3 linked regions of the Arabidopsis thaliana genome follow. The protein of the gene in region 3 purifies or fractionates together with the protein of the main gene of each other region. This does not show direct contact. Each region holds a gene or a part of one and is shown on either strand. Other genes may lie near its edges.

Region 1 (3,754 bases), on a different chromosome or scaffold from region 3:
TAATTCCATCACACTGGCAATGAACCCAGCGCTGGCAAAAGTCACAACACACCATTGGCGTTGCTTCCGAGTCCCTGTAAACCTACGTGATGAAATCAAAATAATTTGTCAATTCAAAGAATGTAAGAAAATTCTGCAAATAACTGCTTTTGCAATACAGATGTCTGGATAGTATAGGGTAACAACTCCAAAATACATAACTCTATTAATTATGGCCAAGAATATCTAAATATGATGCTTGGAAACAGAGCGCACGTTTTCCTATCACCGAGGAGGAGAATATGTAAATATACCTTCAAACATACAGGACAATAATTCCCCTTAACAAACAACCTTCCACAAGCATCACAACAAGTATGCCCCAAAAACCACCTGCAAAGTTTAGAAGGAATAATAAGAGATAGTGCACTTTACATGAATAAATTTCAAGTATCACAAGGCAAAAAGTTAAATACCGTAAGCTCTGGCCATTCCCAGGGACTGTAGACTCACAACTGTAACATTTGGTGTGCTTAGGACACAAATAGGGTCCAGAACTAACATTCTGTAATATTCAGAGATTAAAATAAACCAATTTGCAAAAGATAAGATAAGAACCTTATACAGACGCAATAAATACTATACCTTGTGCCGAGGATGTTGGCAATCACAATGATATGCATCATCACATCTTTTGCAGAACATAAACTTTTTTGGATCCCCTAAAGTCCCGCAGCCCTAAAGGAAAAATGATCAAAAGAATACAAATAATCAAGCAGCAGTCATACCTAGCCCAGCATGTAAAGAGCAAGAATAATCATTGAGCACAAAGTTGTGTCCGAACATACCTCACAGATTCGGCAAGATGGGCACGCCCAAGAGCTCCAATTAAAAAGATCTGCTAGCAAAAACCGGTATAAGAATCTAGGCAGAAAGACTCATAAGTCATAAACAATAGATTCCTATGAAACAATACCTCTATGTTGGGCCCAAGACTTCACGCAGTTTCTATGATACTTCTTCCCACAACATTTGCAAGAAAGCATCTTGGCTCTCTCACTCTTCCCAACTTCAACCAAATAGCACATGTGACATGTTATGCTTGCACTGTGATGATCATGATCTTCTTCATTGAGGTCTTTGACTGAAACCTACATAGAGAAAGACATAACATTGAATTAGTGTCTTGACGAGAATAGACTTCATAATCATCCAAAAAATCACAAGTAGTTTACATATAAATCATAGATTACAGAACCCGAAAAGACAGGACAACACCAAAACACATACACGAGATACAGATAATCAACATCACTGAAAACACGTTTTCTCACAAAGACAGATTCCTATAAACAAGTTCAATTCAATTGACATAGCAGTAACCCCTAACCACAAAAACAAGTTTCGCAAGTAAGAATTCGAACCTCTAAGTCGCCAGAACAATCATTCGCAGCATAAACTTCCACAGCCTTCTTCTGCAACACCAAGGTGCGTTTAGCTGGTACCAAATTCGATGATGCAGCAACAACCTCCATCGCCGAATCACTCCCAACACCAACATTTCTAGCCGCAATGCGAGGACCAGTATCGAAAACAGCAAGCTTAGGCACATGGATCTGAACGGTACCGTCCTTGGAAACCTCAGCATCCCAGGGGTTTCGCACGAACTCCTGAAGAGAATGGATCTCTTTGAGATACACATCCTTGACTTCATTACCATGAAGATTCCGAGAAAACCCCAAAACGCAGAAGCAAATTTTCCGGCTGCGGAGAAAGAACGAAAGAAAGAAGAAAACCCCCAAATTAGAACAATTCGATTAGTAAAAACAAACAAGCCAACGAGTAAAGGAGGCGCCAAAAGAAAGAAAAAAAAACATACCATGTAATTGGACAAGCTACGTGAAAGGCCATAGTCGGTTTTCAAGTTTTACGCTTTCGGGTTCGATTTTTAGGGATCTGACTTCTTTTCTTTTTTTCCTGAATTTTTTGTTAGGTTTCTGAATTAAATCACTCGTCCTTTATTGTGTAAATAATATAAACCTAGAGGTCCTTAAACGGAAATATTATGTTTTATCGGCCCGATCCGACCCAAACTGTATACACCAATAATAATATAACACGTGGAGATTCGATCTTTTTTCTTTTATGAAAAACGACGTCGTATTATATTTTGTTTGCCAGAAAGAAACTGAAGAACTCTTGACTGTCTCTCTGCGGCGAAAAAGAGAGCGAAGCTTGAAATCTCCGATTAAGCCATGAATGCTCCCGAACGATATGAGCGATTCGTCGTCCCTGAAGGCACCAAGAAGTAATTGAAGTTTCTATCACTCGAAATCATACTCGATAGTCCTCTTACATGTGCTAAACCCTCTCGATTTCTATGTTCTAGGGTTTCTTATGATAGGGATACGAAGATCATCAATGCTGCTTCCTTCACGGTTGAGAGAGAAGACCATACGATTGGAAACATTGTCCGCATGTACGTCTTTTTGTTGATTTTGCAACTCTTTTCTCAGAAAGAAGAAAGCCCTAATTTTTGTCAGCTCTGTTCTGAAATTTTTGTTTTAGGCAACTTCATCGCGACGAGAATGTCTTGTTTGCTGGATACCAACTTCCTCATCCTCTTAAGTACAAAATCATAGTGAGGGTAAGTTCCAAGTTTTTCAGTTGCTTCTACTGTAGAGCCTGTTGCTTTGAATTGGAAAGAACAATGCTATCCTCTGCGTTTTTTTCAGTTCATTGATTGACCTTAGGATCCAAAAGATTGGTTTAGGAACTTAAAAGTAGTGTATGGTTGTTTGGAAACCGTGAATATTTCTTGGTTTAAGCTTCTAGTGTTAACAGTTTCCTCTGGGATTACTGGTTGCTTAAGGACTTATAGAAAGATCTTGTATGTTGTTGTTTAATTGTGAAAGTGGTTTCTGTATGTAGATTCACACAACAAGCCAGTCTTCCCCAATGCAAGCATACAACCAGGCCATCAATGACTTGGACAAGGAGCTCGACTACTTGAAGAACCAGTTTGAGGTACATAAGTTTCTCTCTTCGGATATACTTATCTGATTATGTGGTTAATAAGCTAGACGAATATCAAATGCTATTGATGTTGTTTGATGTACCTGGTCTTATGGTATACCCTTCTGTGTTTTCAGGCAGAGGTGGCCAAGTTTTCGAATCAGTTTTAAGGAACTTGGAGTTCTCCATCAGCACATCGGGGAAAACGTTTTACATTGTCTTTTGCTAAGCACCAATCAAGACTAATAATGAGCTTGGGAAATTTTCCCTAGTTATGCTTTGTATAAATCAAAAACAAATCGGCCTGTAACTTCTTTTAACTCTATGTTTCAACACCATTTCAGGATGCTATGAAGTAATGCTTAGATTACCTCTTCTTTTTACCATTCTATCTACATAAACCGCTTAATGTTTGAACTATTGTACAAAGTCTCTTTAAGAGTTGTGATGGTGAAGCTACTACTCTTCCCAAGCTACTAAGTAAAGTGCATTTGTACAGATATTCACAGTATAGTGAAGTCATCATGAAGCCCTTCTAGCTGACCCCGAGTACGCTGCTGCTGAATAATTAACATTGATGTGTTGTGTGAGAAATCTGATCCTGAAAGAACGTCACCTATGGGACCAAGCTCTGGACATTGCTGCCAGTCGTTGAGGCCGGTGGTTAACCCACTGCTCGCTCTTCCCCCTCCTCTTCCTACAATCACCAGCCCATACTCTCCATCTAGTGATTTAAGAGCTGTGAAAGTCTCAGAGGAGT
Region 2 (3,685 bases), on a different chromosome or scaffold from region 3:
CGGGGATTAGATGATAGACCAAAACTATTAAAACAAACTTAAGATGAGATGTGACTTGCATTGACAAAACAGTCGTGGAAATGAAGACGGAGAAGAGAAGCAGCCATTCTTGGATCCTCTAACACCGTGGTTTCCACCCACGAGTAGACGATAGACTCTGCTTCGGGGCAGCTATTCCGGTATAAACCAAAATCAAGAACCAAATCGAACCCTATGCCAAAGCTTGAACCGGTTTCTCCACTCCCGTCTTCGCAACTCTCGCTGAAATTGGTTGGATTCTCGGAGAGTGAAAGAATTGGCATTGCAAAGAAAAACATAAGGAACAAGTTAAAGAGATTCTTCATTGTCGTTATATGATCACTCCACTTTCTTCTGAGTTTTAACATTCAATGGAGTTGGTACTATATTAGAAAGCTAGTGTATGTGTGTCCATATTTATAGAAACAATTCAACTATATACACATACATAACACGTATATATGTATGTGTGACTGCATGACTGCATGTGCACTTCAACAACCCAATTACATATTATGTACTCGTCAAATTAATCATACGTACGTCAATAAATGTATGTATATATAAAAGAAGTAGATTGGCAAATATTCAAGTAAAATTGCAATGTTAGTATACCAAATGATTAACAAATTCTCATAATACAATTTATGATCAGCATGTATAATTGTGTGTTTTTTGTTGTTTTTTATGCATGAATTATTATTTGAGCAAAACAAAACGTTTTGGACTAAACTATATACGTGATAAGGGATAAGATTGCATAAGGTGGCTGGCTAATGGCTATTATTAGTAAGTTGTAATAAAAAGGAACAAAAGAGTAGTAATGATATTGTAATGAATGAAGAGGAAACACACAAATAAACCATGTTGTTACTATTGCTAGTGCTAGTGCAAGTGCTAGAGAGATGTGTCGGTATACACTATAGAGTCAGGAGTAGTTAAAAGACAGACCAATTCAGCAGTTGGAATCTGACAGAAGTTAGTAGTATATAATGTGCTTAATTTCTTTCATATTTTTAATAGAACAGAACTTATATAATGAATATCGAATAATTTTCACAATGATATAAAGGTGCATGGGGATATGCATGTGGTTGTTAATGTAAGAAAAAGTACACTAGTCTTCAATGAAGAAAGGGTCAAATTTATTTCGTATTGTCCTCTTCGTATTTCTTTATTTGTATTTTTTTCTACCCCACAAGTTAAATTCTGATATGGGCCGGCCCATGGGCTTTACGCATTTATTGTCTAAATGCCCGAGAAAGTTCATGAAATTACATCCGATTGCCACTACGCAGTCTTTAGTCTTTACTAGAGCTTGACCTCTTCTCTCTCATGTCCGAGTGAACAAATCCCGCCAAAGATACGAAGAGACTGATTGTGAAATCAAAGAAGCATTCAAAAGCTCGTTATCTAAAGATTCTGCGAAGATGAGTACTATGAAATTTTGTCGCGAATGGTAAATACGAATCTCTTCGTTTTTTTTATTTTGGGGGTCAAAACGAATCTGTTCTCTGCTCTTTTATACTAGTCTTCTGAAATTGAAATTTGGGTTTTCATTTCTTAGCTCATATTGAATTATATATTGTACCCAGTTCTCTTAAGTCTCTAATTGTCGGAATTTTAGTTTTGGATGGTTTGCTTATGTTTTCTATTGGATTAAAGCTCCAACTTTTCTCCACTTTTGCAGCTTATGAACCTTTGATTTTGTTTTTTTTTGAAATGTTCAGTAATAACATTCTATATCCCAAGGAAGACAAGGAGCAATCAATCCTCCTCTATGCGTGCCGTAATTGTGATCACCAGGTAAACTTTGTTTACTATGCTTTCTTTTATAAAATTAGGTTTCCTTAGTGTTAATGGAACAATGTGGTGTTGAAACAAAGCTAGGGCTGAAACCAATAGACTTTAGTTGTTCACTTGTATATGATTTGTGTTGATATTTATTTAAGCTCTGATGTTTTACTCTTTGTAATCGCTTATACGGTTAAAGGTCGAATGTCTGAACTTGAAGTAAACCAAGGAATGATAATTTAATGAGTTTAGATCATTTTCCTTGTCTCTCATATCATGAATCTGATTGGTTAAGATAGTAGTGCTTATCAGTATAAAGAGTTCTTTGAGAACTTCTGAACAAACGCAAGACCTTTTAAAAACCGTTTAGAGGGTTTCTGCAACTTAACTTCTAAAACCATTTGAGTTTCAACAATATCCATTGGTGTTACCGAATCTGAGTTTTTTTTTGTTTCTACTGTTTGTGTTATGTTTTGTTATTACAAAGCATTATGCCTTTGTTAGCTACTGAAAACCATTCTAGATGAATCTCTGTATGGGATCTTTAGCTTAATGCCCGGACTTGCTAACCGAATTAGTTATAAACTTACTGAGTTACTGTTAGCTATTTATCGTCCTGTTGATAGAAGGTCTTGAAATTTATATTCTTTTATTTGGCTTTGCAGGAAGCAGCAGATAACAATTGTGTTTACAGAAACGAGGTTCATCACTCTGTAAGTGAACAAACTCAGATCCTATCTGACGTTGCTTCCGACCCAACTCTTCCACGTACCAAGGCTGTGCGATGCGCCAAGTGTCAACACGGTGAAGCTGTCTTCTTCCAGGTGAATCATTATCTTATATCTTAATCTTTAATTCGTCATCAATCAAGGAGTAAAGAAACATTCTTTCGTTTTTCTCTGATCTAACTTAAAGATCAAAAGAGATTTCTTTCTCTTGCTTTTTAATGTGCTTATGGCTATTTCGGTTTGATATAGCTCGTGTGTGTCATCGAATTTTCAGGCCACGGCTAGAGGCGAAGAAGGAATGACTCTGTTTTTCGTTTGCTGCAACCCGAACTGTAGTCACCGTTGGAGAGAATAGATTGATAGAAGACTACATTTTTCAAATGTAACGTGTATTTGTGTTCCGCTTTATGAGTTTTATACAATTCAATTTGGAGTTTTCTGTGTAAAAATATGAATACTATGAGACTGTTCTCGGGTTTCTTGAATTGTTTCAGGGTCTTTTATGATCATTTTGGTTTTTATGTGGGTCTAATTATAAATTTGTCGTTTTATGCGGGGCCGATCTGAAAATTCGTCCATAAACCATGATAGTGTTGAAAATTTGTATACGTGGAGTCTAGCCGCCGGCTGCTATAACTTTGCTATAACGTGTGATATTATAAAAAGTTGATAAATCTAATCTTCTAAACCAAATTGTTTTAATAATGCTGTGTTTACTTCGTCATCGTATCGAATTATACGGCTGCTCTTGTTAAGTGATGACAATATCTTCAAATAAAGTTTTTTCTTTTGTAAGCAAATATGATAAAACTACGTTAGCTAATAGCCAACTTGGTCCATCATAGTTCATAAAGTCAAAAAATCAGTAACCAATTCATGAGTGGAATTATACTTGATTCAATGACACTGTTTAGGAGCTTATCTAAATTGCACAAGTTTTGTTACACGTAAAACACAAATATGCCAAATTAGACATGTTTCTCGTCATTCTAAAACATTAACAAATATTTACATAGACGCAGTCAAATAAATCAAATTTCGTATGATAAAAAAAAAACAAAAAAAATAGCAAGGTTGATTTGTCAATGCTGGCAAAAATAAGCAATGTCCTAATTTCTCAAGTTGGAAAGTGACATTTCTCTACC
Region 3 (3,754 bases):
TGGTGGGCCTGGTGGTCTTCCCGTCCCATACATCGTTATTGGAAACAAAGCTGATATTGCTGCCAAAGGAGGAACAAATGGAAGCAGTGGCAATCTTGTTGATGCAGCTCGTCATTGGGTTGAGAAGCAGGGTCTGCTTCCCCATAGTGATGAACTTCCTCTCTCTGAGAGCTTCCCTAGCAATGTTGGTCTCATAATGGTAACCACAGACTAAATTACTTGCTTTATTTGAATTTAGTGTTATGCGGTATGTCATATAATTTTGGTAAAATTATGCACAGGCTGCCAAGGAAGCTAGATATGACAAAGAAGCTCTGACCAAAATTTTCCATATGGTTGGTGTCATTTCTGACCTTGCCATGTTTTACAATAGCTCTCTCCCTCTCTCTCTTTCTCTTCAACCTAATGAACGTTTTTCGTTTTCAGTTGATAAGAAGAAGATATTTCTCAGACGAACTACCGTCGCCTTCTTCAGCATGGTCTCTTTCCCATGCACCTTCCCAGCGGTTAGATGAGGGCACAAGTGATGAAGATCAGTTCTATAAAAGAACAAGGTATATATATTTATCATCCTAAAAAAAATCGGATTTCTTTTCTTTATCGGGTTTTGGTCTTTTGAATTTTGCAGCCTAAGGGAAGGAGATGCTTACAAATATAACACATTACCGCAACACAATCTCATGCAGTCTCCTACACTCTATCCGCAGCAACCACCTGACCGTTACAATTACGCTATTCCGAGATTCTCTCTTTCCAGTGTAGAGGAAACCAGCAATGGTAATGGCAGGTCTAAGCGGATGGATATTAACGTCTGAAAGTAAAACACAGATCAAATCTCACATTATTTTCCTGTAATCTTCCAAACATTATCTTCTTTTATTTGTCAACACTCCAAACATAATCTAAGTATTCTTTTTTTCTAAATAATACATGATTCGTGTGATAATTATCTTAATCATGTGAAAAAAACTTGATAAGTTTTTTTTTTTTTTTTTTTTAAGTTGGTAAGTATAAGCTTGATCAGTTAGAATTTAGAATCCCAAACTAAATCGGATTGTAAACAACTCAGTTCCTTATAAATACACTCGAATCATAATTGTAAGACAAAGAAGAAGAAAAAAAACAAAGTGTTGTATCCAAACGATGAAGACAACAAAGATTGAGAGTGAAGCCGTATGTAAGCATTGGTTTTTGTATATAGCGGAGTTCATCAAAGAAAGACTAAGTGAAGCGAAACTCAAGGAATACATGGGGTTGATGAAACAATTTAGGTCCCGGCATATACAAGGAGATGAACTCATAAAGTCTCTTCAAAATCTGTTTCAAGGAGACGTGGTTCTTTCTCAAATGTTCAACGCACTTATGAAAACAGAGATCCAAGAACTGCAAGGTAACGAAAATCCGGAAACAGTCGCAAGAAAAAGAACAAGGAGTGAAGCAGAGAATGATGATGGGATTGAAGAAGGTGAAATTCGAGAGGGGCATTGCGATTGTCCTCGTTGCAAGATTGGTCGGGAAGAAGCAGAAAGGCGTAGTATACCCATTAAGAAAAGAATTTGTCGTGGGTTTTAGAAGATTTTGTTTTGTTCTTAATATCACATGTTATTCAGTTTGTGCTTTTCAAATATTTTTCCAAATTCTATGTTACTACTCAATTTATGTTAAATCATAAAATAACTTGGGTTTTTTTTAATCAAATTATATTATGATAAATTTTGTTGTTCTTCTCTATTTATCATCAATTATAAATATATTTCTAATTAATCCTGTTATGATGATATTCAATTTCTTGCAGAATATATGATTGTAGTAAACAATTTTGATCTTTTTTTGCTATTAAATCAAAAATTTATACCAACTTTATCAAAATCATTGCCTATTCAAACTTGATGATTATTATTCGGTTTATTTCAATTTTTCTCTATTACTAACATAGTAACATTTATCTAATTAACCTCTCTTCCCCAAAAAAAATCTAATTAACCTCCTTGGATTTTCCTTTTTTAATTATAGAGTTTGCTTCTTTTTTTTTATATATAACCGGTCAAAGCTTTTGTTTTGTCTCATATTCATCACTTTCGTTGTTAAGACGGAAAAAAAAAAAAAAGAGGCAGAACCAAAAAACTTTAGGGTTCGATTTCGCTCCTTGGTAATCACCATGTCCGGAGAAGAAGAAGAGAACGCCGCCGAACTCAAGATCGGAGATGGTACTTCTCTATTCTCTTCGCCATATCCCCCGCTGTGTACCTCAAAATTAGGGTTTCTTTGCCTCATCGAATTGATCTTAATTCAATACGATTTAATTGAGCTTAACTGTATCGAAAATCCCTTAATTATTTGAGATTTATCATCGAAATTGATGGGTTTTATTCTCTTTGACAAAAGAGTTTTTGAAGGCAAAGTGCTTAATGAACTGTGAAGTCTCTTTGATTCTTGAGCACAAGTTTGAACAGCTTCAGCAAATCTCAGAGGATCCTATGAATCAAGTTTCTCAGTAAGTATAATTGTGTTTCATAGAGATTCATTGTATATTAGCCATCATGAATTGAAGAATTTAGTCAGTTTTATATGTTACTTCTAGGTTAGTGAATCAATGTTGAATATTGTTGAAGAAGTTATGTTTGCTCCTTGCAGAGTGTTTGAGAAGTCCTTGCAATATGTGAAGCGATTCAGCCGCTACAAGAATCCAGATGCTGTTAGACAAGTTCGAGAGTATCCTTTTTCTGAATTAGTTTGATTCAAAGTTTTTAAGTAATCGTTGCTTTGACATGCTTCCTTCTTGATGAGTGAGATTTTACAGTCACTGGTTTAATTCTATAGTTTTGTGAGAATATGCTATTCCTTAACTCAACTTTTGCAGAATACTAAGCAGACATCAACTCACTGAGTTTGAGGTACAATGTTAAATCTCTTGAGATTGGATTTTTGTTTATCAATTAAGTCGTTTCGGTAGAAGACTTAAAACATTGCATTGTTCATTATTGAACAGCTATGTGTTCTTGGCAATCTCTGTCCTGAAACTGTTGAAGAAGCAGTGGCAATGGTTCCTTCTCTTAAGGTAAATAAAGATTCTACTTTTTCTATTCAGTGGAGATAATAAGATAACCTCAAAAGGACAAATTGTATTGTTATGTAAGTGGACTTTTGAGATGATGTAAGCTTCTCTTTTGTGTAGACAAAAGGAAGAGCTCATGATGATGAAGCTATTGAGAAGATGCTCAATGATCTCTCACTTGTCAAGAGATTCGAGTAGTGCAGAAGATTCTCAAGATCTAAGATTCTGAACATTTAGCAGGATGCTTTACTTGCCTTCTAGCTGATCTGGAGTTAATTCGCCACGTCTGAAATTATAAAGCTTTAATGCCTAGAATTTCTGGAATGATACCTTCATGTTAAATGAATGTAATTTACAACGGATGATCCAAGCTTTTAATGAAATATACCATCTCTTTTTCACTAAATCAAGTAAGGGATGACACTATATACATACTACACCTAAAGCAGCTATGTGTGAACTGTGAAGCTTTAATTCCATCTCTTGGCATTTTTGCTGGACTTTGACTTCTTTTTGGAAGCTTGAAACGCTTTCATCTTTTGCTTCTTCCGTGCTTCTCTCTCAGCCTTTGACATCTTTGACTTTGCTTTCACTTTTGGAGCTTTTTCTTCCAATTCTGCTTCCCTCTCCAGCTCCCTTGCTCTAGCTTCAACATTCTTCTCCAGGAAATACTGAGAAACAGTTCAAAACAGTTCAAAA

What was found.
Region 1: the proteins of NRPB4 (region 3) and NRPB11 fractionate together in Arabidopsis thaliana (co-fractionation; one large-scale study listed by BioGRID). This does not show direct contact.
Region 2: the proteins of NRPB4 (region 3) and NRPB9B fractionate together in Arabidopsis thaliana (co-fractionation; one large-scale study listed by BioGRID). This does not show direct contact.

The regions. Positions count from the first base shown.
Region 1 is NC_003074.8:19,317,479-19,321,232, reverse strand, and holds NRPB11 (DNA-directed RNA polymerase, RBP11-like protein), read left to right. Parts: upstream 1-2,109; 5' UTR 2,110-2,234; coding exon 2,235-2,287; intron 2,288-2,368; coding exon 2,369-2,458; intron 2,459-2,547; coding exon 2,548-2,626; intron 2,627-2,732; coding exon 2,733-2,822; intron 2,823-2,910; coding exon 2,911-3,006; intron 3,007-3,131; coding exon 3,132-3,164; 3' UTR 3,165-3,384; downstream 3,385-3,754. Other genes in the region: AT3G52100 (RING/FYVE/PHD-type zinc finger family protein), read right to left, coding at 1-82, 294-372, 456-544, 625-717, 828-877, 956-1,130, 1,272-1,325, 1,404-1,743 and 1 more; chx28 (cation/hydrogen exchanger 28), read right to left, coding at 3,498-3,754.
Region 2 is NC_003075.7:9,201,739-9,205,423, reverse strand, and holds NRPB9B (RNA polymerases M/15 Kd subunit), read left to right. Parts: upstream 1-1,608; 5' UTR 1,609-1,662; coding exon 1,663-1,824; intron 1,825-2,477; coding exon 2,478-2,636; intron 2,637-2,814; coding exon 2,815-2,895; 3' UTR 2,896-3,072; downstream 3,073-3,685. Other genes in the region: AT4G16270 (peroxidase superfamily protein), read right to left, coding at 60-344. UniProt on the Arabidopsis thaliana protein: DNA-dependent RNA polymerase catalyzes the transcription of DNA into RNA using the four ribonucleoside triphosphates as substrates. Component of RNA polymerase II which synthesizes mRNA precursors and many functional non-coding RNAs.
Region 3 is NC_003076.8:3,094,118-3,097,871, forward strand, and holds NRPB4 (RNA polymerase II, Rpb4, core protein), read left to right. Parts: upstream 1-2,065; 5' UTR 2,066-2,158; coding exon 2,159-2,207; intron 2,208-2,385; coding exon 2,386-2,494; intron 2,495-2,634; coding exon 2,635-2,712; intron 2,713-2,860; coding exon 2,861-2,894; intron 2,895-2,989; coding exon 2,990-3,058; intron 3,059-3,175; coding exon 3,176-3,253; 3' UTR 3,254-3,525; downstream 3,526-3,754. Other genes in the region: AT5G09910 (Ras-related small GTP-binding family protein), read left to right, coding at 1-199, 282-335, 427-554, 629-815; ABCF2 (ABC transporter family protein), read right to left, coding at 3,526-3,726. UniProt on the Arabidopsis thaliana protein: DNA-dependent RNA polymerase catalyzes the transcription of DNA into RNA using the four ribonucleoside triphosphates as substrates. Second largest component of RNA polymerase II which synthesizes mRNA precursors and many functional non-coding RNAs.